2 linked regions of the Sus scrofa genome follow. The protein of the gene in region 2 interacts with the protein of the main gene of each other region in a biochemical or structural test. Links are inferred from orthologs where the notes say so. Each region holds a gene or a part of one and is shown on either strand. Other genes may lie near its edges.

The links.
Region 1: of the proteins of histone H1.5 (region 2) and CCNA2, one has a biochemical effect on the other in vitro, tested with the Homo sapiens proteins (2 studies listed by BioGRID). The link is inferred for Sus scrofa from reciprocal best matches to the Homo sapiens genes H1-5 and CCNA2.

Annotation. Positions count from the first base shown.
Region 1 is NC_010450.4:102,256,396-102,264,332, reverse strand, and holds the start of CCNA2 (cyclin-A2), read right to left. Parts: upstream 3,988-7,937; 5' UTR 3,920-3,987; coding exon 3,707-3,919; intron 2,961-3,706; coding exon 2,717-2,960; intron 1,171-2,716; coding exon 1,058-1,170; intron 863-1,057; coding exon 639-862; intron 19-638; coding exon 1-18. UniProt on the Homo sapiens protein: Cyclin which controls both the G1/S and the G2/M transition phases of the cell cycle. Functions through the formation of specific serine/threonine protein kinase holoenzyme complexes with the cyclin-dependent protein kinases CDK1 or CDK2.
Region 2 is NC_010449.5:21,618,947-21,625,402, forward strand, and holds histone H1.5, read right to left. Parts: upstream 3,701-6,456; 5' UTR 3,651-3,700; coding exon 2,970-3,650; 3' UTR 2,917-2,969; downstream 1-2,916. UniProt on the Homo sapiens protein: Histone H1 protein binds to linker DNA between nucleosomes forming the macromolecular structure known as the chromatin fiber. Histones H1 are necessary for the condensation of nucleosome chains into higher-order structured fibers.

The DNA of each region.
Region 1 (7,937 bases), on a different chromosome or scaffold from region 2:
TATATTTCTTCAAATTTTCTACAATGAAAGAAGTTTTAAGTAATTAGTCCTCCTAAAAGAAAAGCAAGTTTACCCCAACTTGAAATTCCTTAAGTAGAATAAAACAAATTCAAAGCCTGTACTTACCACCAGTTGCTTATTTCCACTGATAATTGACCATTTCTAGCAGAGATTGTGTAAATGCTAATTAAGACCCAAATATTTCTCCCACTGCAGTCAAAGGAAATAAATGAGGCAAGAGACTTCCCAAGATGGAAACAGTACCAGAGTTCACCAAGAAACTGAAAATGTAGGAAAGTTTCTTAGAAAAATAAATGCTTTATATTTTAGTTTTTAGTTTTCATGTCTTAATGGGGAAAAAAAAATAAGATTTTGCTTATATACCAGAAAATACTTTCCAGTGGAAGGAGCCACTTTGTAATCTATATGTTCATTCAATGTGCCCTCAAATCCAGAACTAGGAAAACGAATGTCTGAAATTTAAAAATTTTCACCCACACCACCACCCCTATAGTAGTCACTGACTTTGCATTGTGTAGTATAAGTTTTAAAATGTCACACTTTAAAAATCACATTTCTTCCCTAAATAGAAAGATACTATGAATCACTTTAAATCCAACAAACCAAGTTGGACTTACGAGGCCAACAGCATAGCAGCAGTGCCCACAAGCTGAAGTTTTCCTCTCAACACAGACATCGATGAAAGAAACCTATCAATGTAGTTCACAGCCAAATGCAGGGTCTCATTCTGTAGTTTATATTCTTCTCCTACTTCAACTAACCAGTCCACGAGGATAGCCCTCATACTGTTAGTAATGTCTGGCTGTTTCTTCATGTAACCCACTTTAGGCTTACATTTAACCTGTTGAGAAAGTTATTTAGTATAGTGTTAAAACTGCAATTAGATTATTCTACCATTAGGAGATGCTACATGCTGGAAACATAGGTATAGCCTAAGAGTAATCCACTGGCAATTAAAAAATTTAAAACATTACCCTCAATTTCATTTCACCACAGTGAATAAACAACAGTATAAGAAGATTTAGAGAGCCTTTACCTCCATTTCCCTAAGGTATGTGTGAATGTCCTCATGGTAGTCTGGAACTTCATTAACACTCACTGGCTTTTCATCTTCCAATACAATTGACATGTCCATAGTATGTGGTGACTCTAGGAGAATTAAGAAATAAGATTAAGTTACTTTTAATTTTCTATCTAATTAAAGCTAAAAGTGATTGTCCTTGTAAGGAGTCCCATACTACCAAAGCATTTATTTTATCCAACTAAAAAGAGCTTCTTATGACAAAATACATAGAGGATTTCACTCTGATTTTCGTACCTCTGTCCACCTAGCTTTGGAATGATTTTAACAAGAAAAAAAAAAAAATACTGATAAGCCATTAACAGGAAAAAGAATTTGAGGAAAAGATATTTTGTTAAAGTATCCTTCATCTCCCATGACAGGAGTACAACGGTTCTGTCAGAATAAGTTAAAATCAAGTTTTGAGGTAATACCTAGGATTTGTCATAAGGGAGCTTACAGACCCCAAAGTCTGACGTATTCAAAGCACAATCTAGACGGTAACTAGAAGGCTAATGTGTGCTAAAGAGAATTATATTTGTTATGGGCAGTTCCAACCTATTAACACTACAATCAAGGGGAGATTCTTTGTTGTAAATTTAGATTATCTTTGGAGGCAAAAAGTATCAGCTATTAATGTTTTTACTTCAAGGTTTAATCTGAGGTTAAAATTTGTTGTAAATTTTACTTTTTTCTTTTTTTTTTGGTCTTTTTAGGGCATGTGGCAACTACCAGGCCAGAGATGGAACCCTCCCACAGCTGTAACCAGTCACAACATGGCAACACCAGATCCTTAACCCACTGAGCCGCAAGGGAACTCCTGTACATTTTAAATAAAAGTACACAAATTATTTTATTTTCAAAGGACTTCCCTGCTATACCTCTCATTGACAGAACTAAAATATACTAGATTTAGTGAGCCCATCTATTATATGTGGTAATGTACAAAAAAGCATAGTTCAACTGTGACTCACAGGATAACCATGTCCCTCCCTGGTGTCAGTCAATCACTCAGACTGCTTTTAAACAAAAGTTTAAAGCTGGAAGAGATGTTGATCACAACATTTATTTTTTGTCTTTTGTCTTTTTAGGGCCTCACCGGACTGCATACGGAGGTTCCCAGGTAGGGGTCTAATCAGAGATGTAGCTGCCAACCTACGCCAGAGCCATAGCAACGTGGGATCCAAGCCACATCTGCGACCTACACCACAGCTCATGGCAACACTGGATCCTTAACCCACTGAGCAAGGCCAGGGATTGAACGCGAAACCTCATGGTTCCTAGTCGGATTCGTTTCCGCTGCGCCACAACGGGAACTCCTGATCACAATATTTAAACTACATCCTCAAATAGCACTCTTTGAAATGGTATATACAAAGTGAATCTTAAGAATACAATTGAAATATATTCTCCCAATCAAGCAACATGTCCAGGGTCAGATTAAAGTAAGTGTTTGAGATCTAATAAAACTGATGTGATTAATAGTGTACCAGAGAGTATAGGATTAAGATCCTTTTGTAGGTCACTAGGTCATGGATAAACTGTGAGGCCTGAAATAAGTCACAGCCTTTCTAAACTTACCTATGCAATAATTATGATTACATTTATTTGATACAGATATTCTTTAAAACTTACCAAAACTACCATCCATTGGGTAATCAAGAGGTACCAGTGGTTTTCTTGGTCCAGGTAAAGTAACAGCTGAATTAAAAGCCAGGACATCTTCACTTTCTGGTTTTTTAGATTCAGCTGGCCTCTTTTGAGTCTCTTCTTCTGCTTCATCCACATGAATGGTAAATGCAGGTTGTTTACTGTTTGCTTTCCAAGGAGGAACAGTGACATGCTCATCATTTATAGGAAGATCCTTAAGAGGCGCAACCTAAAAATAAATAACTGGCTTTGAGTCTATTAAATGGAATTTGGCTTTCATCCCCTTATACTGCATTTACTTCCAAATACTCTATCAGGAAAATTAAACTTTATGGGGCAAAATTCAGGCAAGGAAATTTGAGTATGCGTTCCTGCAGAGGTTTTAGAGTCACACTAACGGATTACACAAAAATAATCAGGGCTAAGATAGGTGGTGGGGCAGGCCAAAAGATGCCAAATTTAGGAGAAATGGCAAAAAAGTGGTTTACCTCTTTCGCCCCAGGGTGGAGCAACAGAGCAAATTCGGTAAGATGGCGGAATTGTCCAAAAGCAAAGTATTTTTTATACCTTTTTCTAAAGTAGAGGTAATCTCTTAATTATGTGGGTAGCATGAAGGAGGTCCGGGCAATGCCTGGGGCCTAAAAGCTGAGAGAAAGGCGCGGAGGCGGCAAAGACCGTACTTAACACATACTCAACGTCGGAGGATTTGGTTTGACCATTATTGTCTATAGCAAAATACTCTCCATAGAGCAGACAGGCAACATAAACGCATAGTGCTGGCAGGGAGACTAATGGGAGAAAGGAATGGGGGTAATGTGGCATCCCACACTCGAGAAAACCAGAGGTCAAAGGGACCCCCGACACTGGCCTCCCGAAAAAACCCCAGGAGATGCTACCTCGCCACTCTCCTCTGCGGTCCAAACCCATGCAAAACTCCCGCTTGGCCCACCCTCCTCCAGATAATAACTCATTTACCCGTCGCGTCTTAGGCCTCTGCTGCAGCGCTGGACCCCGTGAGTTCCCGGCCTTCAGTACCGCCAGCCCAGCCCGGGTCCGGGGCTGCTGGGCGGCCGCAGCCTTCTCGGGGTTGATGTTCTCTTGGTCCTCTTGGAGCGCCGTCTGCTGCAATGTTAGCAACGCCGAGCCCGCCTCGCGGGCCACAGGCCCGGGCGCGGAGCTGCCCAACATCACTGCTCCCGGGGGCGCGACGGGATCAGCCTGCGGCGCCAAGCAGCGTGCACTGCGTCCCGCCGACCCGCCGAGGAACACTCCTGCCCTACCTACCCGCCACAGCCCGGGCCAGCCTGCCCGCCCGCCTGCTCAGGATCGTGCAGGACCAAGGAGGTTGCAAAAGCCGGAGGCAGGCGCTGCCGGGCGTGCAGGGTCAAGGACGCCCCCGGAATGAAGCGAGCAGCCCGCCGGAGCGGCAGCTGTTCCTGCAGTTCAAGTAGCCCGCGACTATTGAAATGGACCAATGATAAGGGCCAAGGCCCGTGACGTCACGCTGGGCGACACAGTCGCAGGCAAGTGAAGGCTGCCGCGAAGGAAACCGAGCAGGGGCGGAGCGGGGCGAAGAAAAGTCGGTGAGCAGCAGGAGGAAGTACGCCCGCGCTGCGCAAAGAGGCGGGGCCTAAGCTTATTGTGACTTTAAACGGAGCCACTAGGGGGTCCCTGTCTCAGAGCAAGGGCTGTCTCTAGAATAAACTAAATTAAATTTTAACAATTATTAGTGGGCCACCTTGGCCTTTAGCCTCAGGACCTCCAGTTAGCTCGACTGACTAGTTTCTCAAGGTCTAAAATCTGATCCGCCCACTTACTGGCCCGGTGATCTTGTTCAAGCACTTCAATGTTGATTCTCAGTTTTGTAACTGTTAATTGGGAGTAATAATGTTTATGCGTTATATAGGTGTCCTTAGTATTAAATAACGTGCATAAGTCATTTAACACACTGCTAACGTAACTGATACTCAAGTGGCAGACTACATCATCTTACCATTTAAGTGCTTCGCACAGTCATGCTTTTTATTTTTCTAATGATGATGCAGTTATTTTGAAGTACCACCTTGTACTACTGTTGATAGATGTAGCAAAGAGTAATGTACTACAAAAAAACTCCACTAGATGGTCATTAATGTTCATCTCTTTCTTTCCCAAGCTGTGGTAGCCAACAAAAAGCAGAGTAAAATTCTAGTGATCTATATATAATTATGTGCTCCATTTAGAAATGAATGTTTAAATATAGTAAAAACAATATGACCTTATTAAAATAAAACTCTGTTAGCAATATGTGCCTTAACAAATTCTAACATTTAATATACAAGGCTTGCACATATCTAATAATTATAATGGTATATAATTAAGAAGCACTGTTTTCCAACAAATTCATGAGTGTGAGCGAGCCTTTCTTGAAAACATAAAAAATAGCTTATTTTCTATTTCCTTACGGTATTTTAAAACACCCTTTACGTACAATATTCACCTGAATATGAATCAATATGAATTAAGATTAATGAACAAAACTTCCATAGCCTTAAAGTCATATTTCCCCCCATATATGATTAAAAGGAGATCAGTGGATACTATGGCAGGAAAATCTAAGAAGCTATCACTATTTTTGCACTATTCACATGTAGTACACTTACATAGTCCTACTAGTTACAGCACATTAAGTTACGATCCCCCAGTCTGTTCAAGCCCACCCAGGTGATTTCCCTTGGTCATAACAAGTTAAATATAGCGCTGAGTCAACTCAAATATTTCACAAACTGAGCATGGGTCACAAAACATTACTAAGCAACAGCAAAATCAGTTTTGCAAATCAATCTCAATTCCTAGGAAAAAAAATTTATAGGTTGTACACATACATAGTAACCAAAACATAATCCAGGAACCAGAACTTGGATCCCATATTTACAAATTAATAGCATGTCTTCTTAAACACTTAACCTCACTAAGAATCAGTTTTCCTATATGAATTGACAAAATGATCATAAATATATTGTCAAGATCAAATGAGATAACATACATAAATACAATTTTGAAAACTGAGTTTATACATATATGTATTAGCTTGTTAAATCTTTGAATATATTTTTACTTTACAAATAATATTTCTCAATTAAAAGTTAAAACATCCACTTGGAAAAAATTCATTAAAATCCATCAGACTCATTTCATTTATGTTTTAAAATAAAACATCTCTTCATTTTTAAAAAGTTTCATTTGTCAAAAAAATAGAAGCATTACTTTAAAAAAGGTTGTACCTCAAATATTTTTAGATATTAAAAAGCACTTGAAATAAAAGTATGTACTGTTAGCTTGTAATTCTGTTTTAACATTTTTCATTTAAACAGACAATTATTTAAACAGCTTCTTTGGAGCTTTACCTTGTTTACATTTCATGCAGCATCAAAGAAAGCAATCAATGCATTTTGGTCATAACTGTCCAGAATCTCCAGTAAAAGAGGCACTTTGGTTTTTACATTGGTGCCTTTGAACTTGAATTTATCTATGAAAAGATCGGTGATCATACCTAGAAAGAAAAAAATAATTTCCTGTCATTGAGTAGTTCTATTAATGAAATAATATTTAATGAAAGTAAGCGATTGCTTGAGAATCTATTTCCAAGCACTTGTAATTCCATTACTTAACATACACAAACCTAAAAGGATTGCTGCATTAAAACTCTTTTGGGGAGTTCCCTTGTGGCTCAGCAGAAACAAATCTGACCAGCATCCATGAGGACACAGGTTCAATCCCTGGCCTTGCTCAGTGGGTTAAGGATCCAGCATTGCCGTGAGCTGTGGTGTAGGCTGTAGATGCAGCTTGGATCTGGCGTTGCTGTAGTATAGGCTCCAATTTGAACCCTAGCCTGGGAACTTCTATATGCCTCAGGTGCAGCCCTAAAAAGACAAACCAGAAACAAAAAACCCTATTTATTTTGGGAGGATTTTAAGGCCAGTTTCAAAATATAAATCATTTGGCTAATAACCCTCTTAACAACTGGTTACAAGATATTAATTCAGACAATCAACTGCTGGCCAATTCTGAACTGCTACTGGTATATACAAAAATACAACAAGTGAGGGTTTTTCTTCCCTAAGAGGCCAACCATTTTGACATAGTGCAGACAAATTCTGTTTTGTAACAGCTTTAATTGAATTAAAATATCCCAGCTATACGTTGACCATTCTTGGGATCTGACTTGACAGTAAATATTTCTAGATTCACATATCTGGGAAAATTATTTAACCTTTGAGTTTTCATGTATGTATAGTGGGAATAATTCAAGCTATCAATCCTTTATTCAAAACCCTTGATGCAAGACACGTTTCAGAATTTTTCATATTTTAAAAAATTAATAAAAGGAATATAATATACCATATATATGGCATAATACTTGTGGAAAACGAGTGGAAGCATTTGATAAGAAAACATATCATTCCTGCAACAAAATGTATGAATATTCACACTAAATAGAATAAAAAATATATACATAACTAACCTCATATTAGTTGAAGTGAGATTTTGTCATTAAATTAATTTAGATAAAGTCAGATTTATTGCCAAATGATTTATGAAAAAAAAAGCTTTAGCTTTCAAAGTTTTCTGGACATCAGAATTGGTGATAAGAGACGGCAGTTCTGCACCACCCAACTTCTAAGTTGTTATGAGGATAAAAGATCATGTGCTTGCCATACAGTAAATATTAAGATATTAGATATTATTTTTACAATTATGATCAAGTCTCTAGGTATGAAATAAATTCATTAGGTAGGCTTAAGGATCAAAATGAACTGATGACACCAGACTCTATAGAAGACTTGGCCTAGTGCAAAAAGCATGCATTTGGGGGCGAGGTTCTAATGAAGGCTTTGCCTCTATCTGTGTGACAACAAATTCCTTAGTCTGAGATTTCAGTTAAAATGAAAAACAGAGAAAACACCATCTACCTTGCAGAGCTCTTGAAAGGATTAAATATCCTTTAAACCACCTGGTTATAAAGATGTTATAAACAATCAGGTGTGCTATGCACAATAAGTCTTATGTAAAATTTTTCTTAGGTTGTTCCTTCCTCCCTCTCTATTTCCCCTTCATCTCCTTCTTGCTCTTGCTTTTTCAATACAACTGTAAAAAACTCAACTTCTCACCACCAAAGCAAAAGGAATTTCAAACTGTAAACTGACACAGCACACATATAACCCTT
Region 2 (6,456 bases):
ACACTCTGCAAGTGTTTCTAGTCATCTTCTTGAGGCTATGGGGAAGACAATCGCTGGTTTTTTCTTAACTCTCCTTTGCTCCTGGGCTCATAAATTCAGTCCCATTTTTGTACTTTCTATTCCCGGAAGTCTAAGGCCTCCTGTCCTTTAATGGGAAATATTTTCTTTCTTTCTTTCTTTCTTTTTTTTTTTTTTTTTTTTTTTTTGGTCTTTTTGCCATTTCTTGGGCCGCTCCTGCGGCAGATGGAGGTTCCCAGGCCAGGGGTCCAATCGGAGCTGTAGCCTCCAGCCTACGCCAGAGCCACAGCAACAGGGGATCCGAGCCGTGTCTGCGACCTACACCACAGCTCACGGCAACACCGGATCCTTAACCCACTGAGCAAGGAAGGGACCAAACCTGCAACCTCCTGGTTCCTAGTGGGACTCGTTAACCACTGAGCCAGGATGGGAATTCCCTAATAGGAAATATTGAATAATGTCTAGAAAAACAGTAATGGTGTTGGATTTTAAGATCTTAATGTCTGATAATAGTCTGCAGAAGGCTTGGAACTAGTATTTCCACACTGATTCCTGACAATTACCCCTAAAATACTGGCCTAAACACCAGGAGACTGAACTTCTCCCATGGGAAAAAAATGCCATCCCCTTTCTCTTCTTTTTGTATCGAAGATCGCCTTTCCATTTAGAATTTCTCCCTATTTCGAGGAAAAATTAAAAGGTGAAGAGGAAATAGAGTGAGACGAAATGTGGAGCTGACACAAAAAGAAACTGATGAACATTCTAAATTCTTTCTCCCAGTTAAAAAATTTGATCATGTAAAGATAATAGTGAACAGAAATGCCATTGCCAAAGGGGATGAAACATTAAAACTTAAGAATATGCAGCAAGATCAAATTACATGAAAAAATCTAAAGGTAACACAACCTGGTTCTTTTCTCTGAATTCATTCTTTGGTGATATTTATAGAGCATGATAAGGGGAGGGCATAAACTGGATTTGCGGCTGCTCAAAATGATAACTTGTAAGTAAACGTTCAGTTAAAGAGAACAGGAAATTTTCTAGCCCCTAACTTACGCAATAGGTGACTCAAATTGAGTCTGGTTGGTAAGTGAATAAGCACGATAAAACATCTGAAATACCACAAATCAAAAATCTACTGTGTTGAACAAATTAAGCGGCATTCAACTAAAGGCTTGAGATTATTACTGCTTTTGCAGGGATAAACTAAGTGCCAGCTCTCTTTGGAAAGCGTGGATGGCTCTGAAAAGAGCCTTTGGGGTCGGTATGGGTGGCTGTGGGGCAACTCACTTGGCGCTTGTGTACTTGGTGACAGCCTTGGTGCCCTCGGACACGGCATGCTTGGCCAGCTCCCCGGGCAGCAGCAGCCGCACGGCCGTCTGGATCTCCCGGGACGTGATGGTCGAGCGCTTGTTGTAATGCGCCAGCCGCGAGGCCTCGCCGCGATGCGCTCGAAGATGTCGTTGACAAAGGAGTTCATGATGCCCATGGCTTTGGACGAGATGCCGGTGTCGGGGTGGACCTGCTTCAGCACCTTGTACACGTACACCGAGTAGCTCTCCTTGCGGCTGCGTTTGCGCTTCTTGCCGTCCTTCTTCTGCGCCTTGGTCACCGCCTTCTTGGAGCCCTTCTTTGGGGCTGGGGCAGATTTAGCTGGCTCAGGCATGGTGAAAGGTTGCCAAATTCTCCAGAAACGAAGAACAACGGGAGCATCGGGTTCTTTTTATTTACAACTCCTTATGCAAATTATATCTAGTGAATGCCTAGGTCTGATTGGGAAATACTAGTAATGATGTCATTTTCAATGATATCCAATCAGAACGCGCATCTACAGGAACTGTATTAGTCTTCTAAAAAGTAGAACCGCTGTTTTGGCCAATGGAAGAACTTCTTTTTCGCGCCCAGCTGTAGTTATAAATTGTGAGTGTTTCTCTTTTCTCTTCAGTCTCTTCTGTGCCAGTTTCCTATTGCGGATCATGTCTGGACGTGGGAAGCAGGAGGTAAAGCTCGCGCCAAGGCCAAGACCCGCTCCTCGCGAGCCGGGCTCCAGTTCCCGGTGGGCCGAGTGCACCGCCTGCTCCGCAAGGGCAACTATGCCGAGCGGGTTGGAGCTGGGGCGCCGGTGTACTTGGCGGCGGTGCTGGAGTACCTGACGGCCGAGATCCTGGAGCTGGCGGGCAACGCGGCTCGCGATAACAAGAAGACGCGCATCATCCCGCGCCACTTGCAGCTGGCCATCCGCAACGACGAGGAGCTCAACAAGCTGCTGGGCAAAGTCACCATCGCTCAGGGCGGCGTCCTGCCCAACATCCAGGCGGTGCTGCTGCCCAAGAAGACCGAGAGCCACCACAAGGCCAAGGGCAAGTAAGGTTTCCGTAGCAAAGCCTTCTAAACCAAAGGCTCTTTTCAGAGCCACCTACTTTTTCTGTGGAAGAGCTGGCTCGTGTCAATCCAATTGTCACTGTTACCGGTGGTTTGCGGAAGTTGAGCCAAGAGCCATCTTAAAATCGGGAACTTCTCCCTCCCCCTTGTGGCTCAACGAACCCAAAAACAAATAGTACACACGAGAGATGCGTGTTGGGTTGGATCCCTGGTGCACCCCGGTTTTTGAGCTTGGGGCTTAAGGATCCCGCGTTCGTGTGACCTTTGGCTTTTAGGACACTCATACGGATCAGATCTCGCGCGGCGGCGCCCGAAGTGGCGGGTGTGGGCGTAGTTATTGTTTTTTGAATCAGGGACCTATCAGAACACGGCGCGGGCTTTTTAAAGTTTCAGCCATGTTATTACATCCTTCGTATTTTGTAAACTTTCTCGGAGGAAGAAAGTTGAATGCCTGAACCAAAGTAAGAATATAAGAGGACAGTTGATATTTAGTGCACAGCTGTTTTCAGAGGTCTCTGGGTGGCTCTGAAAAGAGCCTTTGGGGGTTTGCTACCTCGAGCGCCAACTTCCTACTTCTTCTTGGGAGCCGCCTTCTTGGCCTTTGCAGCTTTGGGTTTTGCTGCCTTAGGCTTTGCGGCTTTGGGCTTGGCGGCCTTAGGCTTCACAGCCTTGGGCTTAGCGGGGCTCTTGGCAGCCTTTTTCGGCTTGGCGGCGGCCTTCGCCTTCTTAGGGCTCTTGGCCACCTTTTTGACGCCAGCAGCCGCGGGTTTCTTGGCCTTCTTGGGCGTCTTCTTCACAGCTTTCTTGGCCCCCGCAGCCTTCTTTGGCTTCTTAGGGGTGGACCCGGCAGGCTTCTTTGCCTTAGCGGCCCCAGCCTTCTTCGTTTTGGGCTTGGCTTCCCCAGTGGCTGCCTTCTTATTGAGCTTAAAGGAGCCAGAAGCACCGGTGCCCTTGGTCTGCACCAGGGTGCCCTTGCTCACCAGGCTCTTGAGACCCAGCTTGATGCGGCTGTTGTTCTTCTCCACATCGTAGCCTCCCGCTGCCAGCGCCTTCTTGAGCGCAGCCAAAGAGAGGCCATTGCGCTCTTTGGAGGCGGCCACGGCCTTAGTGATCAGCTCAGAAACTGGGGGGCCAGTTGCCTTCCGCTTGGCCGCCCCTCCGCTCGCAGGCTTCTTTGTTGCCTTCTTCTTAGCAGGGGATTTCTCCACCGGCGCCGGGGCAGCCGTCTCAGCAGGAGCGGTTTCCGACATGGCGATGGGAGAAACTGCCAGAGGAAGTAGGATTCAAGATCCGAAGAGCAAGTTTTGCAATGCTGCCTTGCTGGGGCCTGGGGCTTATATAAGCCGGTGCTGCCCTGTGATTGGTGGAGCGTCCAATCCACCGCCCTAGGGCAGCCGCCTCTCGTGGTTGGACTTCCAAACTGTGTTTGTTAGTCCCCCAAATTTGATTAAATGCTAAAAAAAATCGTACAGAATTTTATCCTTTGAAACTCCAAAGGAGGAAAATAGCCTCCAGGTTCACATACTTGTTTGTGTTTTAATGAATTACGCGCAACTGATGAAAGATATTTTAAAAAATCCCTTCAGCTTTTCATAGGAATCCACCGGGCTCAAGGCATCGAGCTAGTTAGTTGGATGTTACAGTAAATTCCTAATAAGTATCAAGCGAATGTTTTTAAAAAGGATTTGTCCCTAAATTCGGCCTTTGATTCTTGCAGTAGGAAAGACACTAGGTTCCTTGGTTTTGCCATAAACTTGGTTTCCAACTGCAGGAAGTAACACAGGCGCAGGGTGGCTGGTTACATACAGCCCCAAATTAACCATATACATCTTTCTTTAAAAACCGGTTTTGCCTCTCAAGGAGTTTCCACATGCCCATGTCTTCAGAGACGTAATAGTACTGTTGCCAGAGTGACTTCTTCCAGGAGGAATAGAATTTGCTTTGGCTTCAGGATGGAATGAACTGCATTCAAATTCAAACAAATTTAGTATGTTTTTGACTGAGATGCCTTTTCTCCTTGGCAAATCCATTAAAGTATGAACAAAAATTGCTTAGCCTAGATAATGTATTTTTAAAAAAAACTCTGATACCTGATAAAAATTATTCAAGGGTTTCCAGGAGCCCTCAAAACCTCAAACTGTTTTAGATGGCATGGGATTTTGTCTATCTTTCAAGGCGCTTTTCCCAGTGCTCTCACTCAAACTCCTTAACTCCATCTACATTTAACAAATTTCCATGGTCAGGAACATTCTCTTTTGTAGGACATCAGTGTGGGAATTTTTATGTATTTAAGATAGACCTATATGCTTCAGTGAAATAATTGCCTACTATGAGAAGTATGGGTTGAGCATTAAGGGACTGGAGGTTATAGAAGTTTAGAAGAAATTAGGAAAACATTAACATTCAAGAAAACTGAGGCAATGACCAAAAGTTTGAAGGGACAGTGAATTTTTCTATTTACTGAGGAGAGGTGCGAGATATGGACAGGATTTTGAGCTTGGTTGTGATGTTTAGGATACCTAATGCAACCAGCAGTTGGTTCTTCCCTTTGAAAAACGGAGAACCAACACACTTCAACCCCAGGAGCTCCTGGAATTGAAATTACAGCCTACTCTAGTAAAATCTGGACAGTCATCTGTTTTTGCATGGCCCTCCAGCCAATTTTTTCCATTTTAAATTTTTTTTTAATGTGACAGACTATATTTTGCCCCCTAAACCTATTTACTATTGTTGTGTTTTGTAACTCCTCACAGACACGTTATGCTGCTTCAGGCTTGCTTGCATCGTTCAGAATTATGCAAATCAATAACTAAAGAAAGGGAGATTTTAACAAGAAAATGTTCCAACTAAGCATTTCCCATTTTTAATCCCCAAACCTTCAGAATATTTTGTAAGGGGGTTTGAGGGGTGGCGAGGTCCATGCTTTAGTGGTAGGAGAGGCCAATATTTGTTGAGTATTTAACTAAAGTGCCAGGAACTAACCTTAGCACTCTCTACAAACTTTAATCCGTTTGCCACATTTTACAGCTGTACAAAGGAGTCCCAGAAGGAGGCTGTGTAACTTGGTAAAGGTTATACAGGTAAAAGCAATTGGCAGCTGTAAGGCTTGAACCTCAACCTTATTTCTTTCTACAACAGGAAGACATGGAGCACTATCTGTAGTCACAGCACAGTACTTGGGGGGCGAGGGGAAGCTGCACTTGTTTCCAAAGTTATTCACGTTAGGCAGTAATAACAAAGAATGGGGCAACAGTTCTTTCCATAACTCCCATAACTGTTTAGTTTCTAAAAAGGGTTTCTCCGCCTTCCCGTTAACAGCAATAGGCTAACCTAAGAACAAAGTGCCAGCCACTTGCAGTCTGCAACATAACCTCCGAACAAGTTGGAGCCCACAATAGCTGTCTTCCAAGAACCTTGATATTTTTGGCACGACATATATCATCTAGAACCCACAGCTCCTTTTTGGTGAGAATTGAGGGGCTCTGAAAAGAGCCTTTGGGGTAGGGTATTAGATGAAGGAAGATGCCAGGAGATTTAAGCTCTTTCCCCGCGGATGCGGCGAGCCAGCTGGATGTCCTTGGGCATGATGGTGACGCGCTTGGCGTGGATGGCGCACAGGTTGGTGTCCTCGAAGAGCCCCACCAGGTAGGCCTCGCACGCCTCCTGCAGCGCCATCACGGCCGAGCTCTGGAAGCGCAGGTCCGTCTTGAAGTCCTGCGCGATCTCGCGCACCAGCCGCTGGAACGGCAGCTTGCGGATCAGCAGCTCCGTGGACTTCTGGTAGCGCCGGATCTCGCGCAGGGCCACCGTGCCGGGCCGGTAGCGGTGCGGCTTCTTCACGCCGCCGGTGGCGGGCGCGCTCTTGCGGGCCGCCTTGGTGGCCAGCTGCTTGCGCGGCGCCTTGCCGCCGGTGGACTTGCGAGCGGTCTGCTTGGTACGAGCCATGGCTGAGTCGCGCCACTTGCTTAATCGCAGAGGAGGCTGGCTTCTCAATATATATAGTGACCCTCGAGTCTTGATTGGACAATAGGGCGCAGCCTCCCTCCCCTGCCCCGC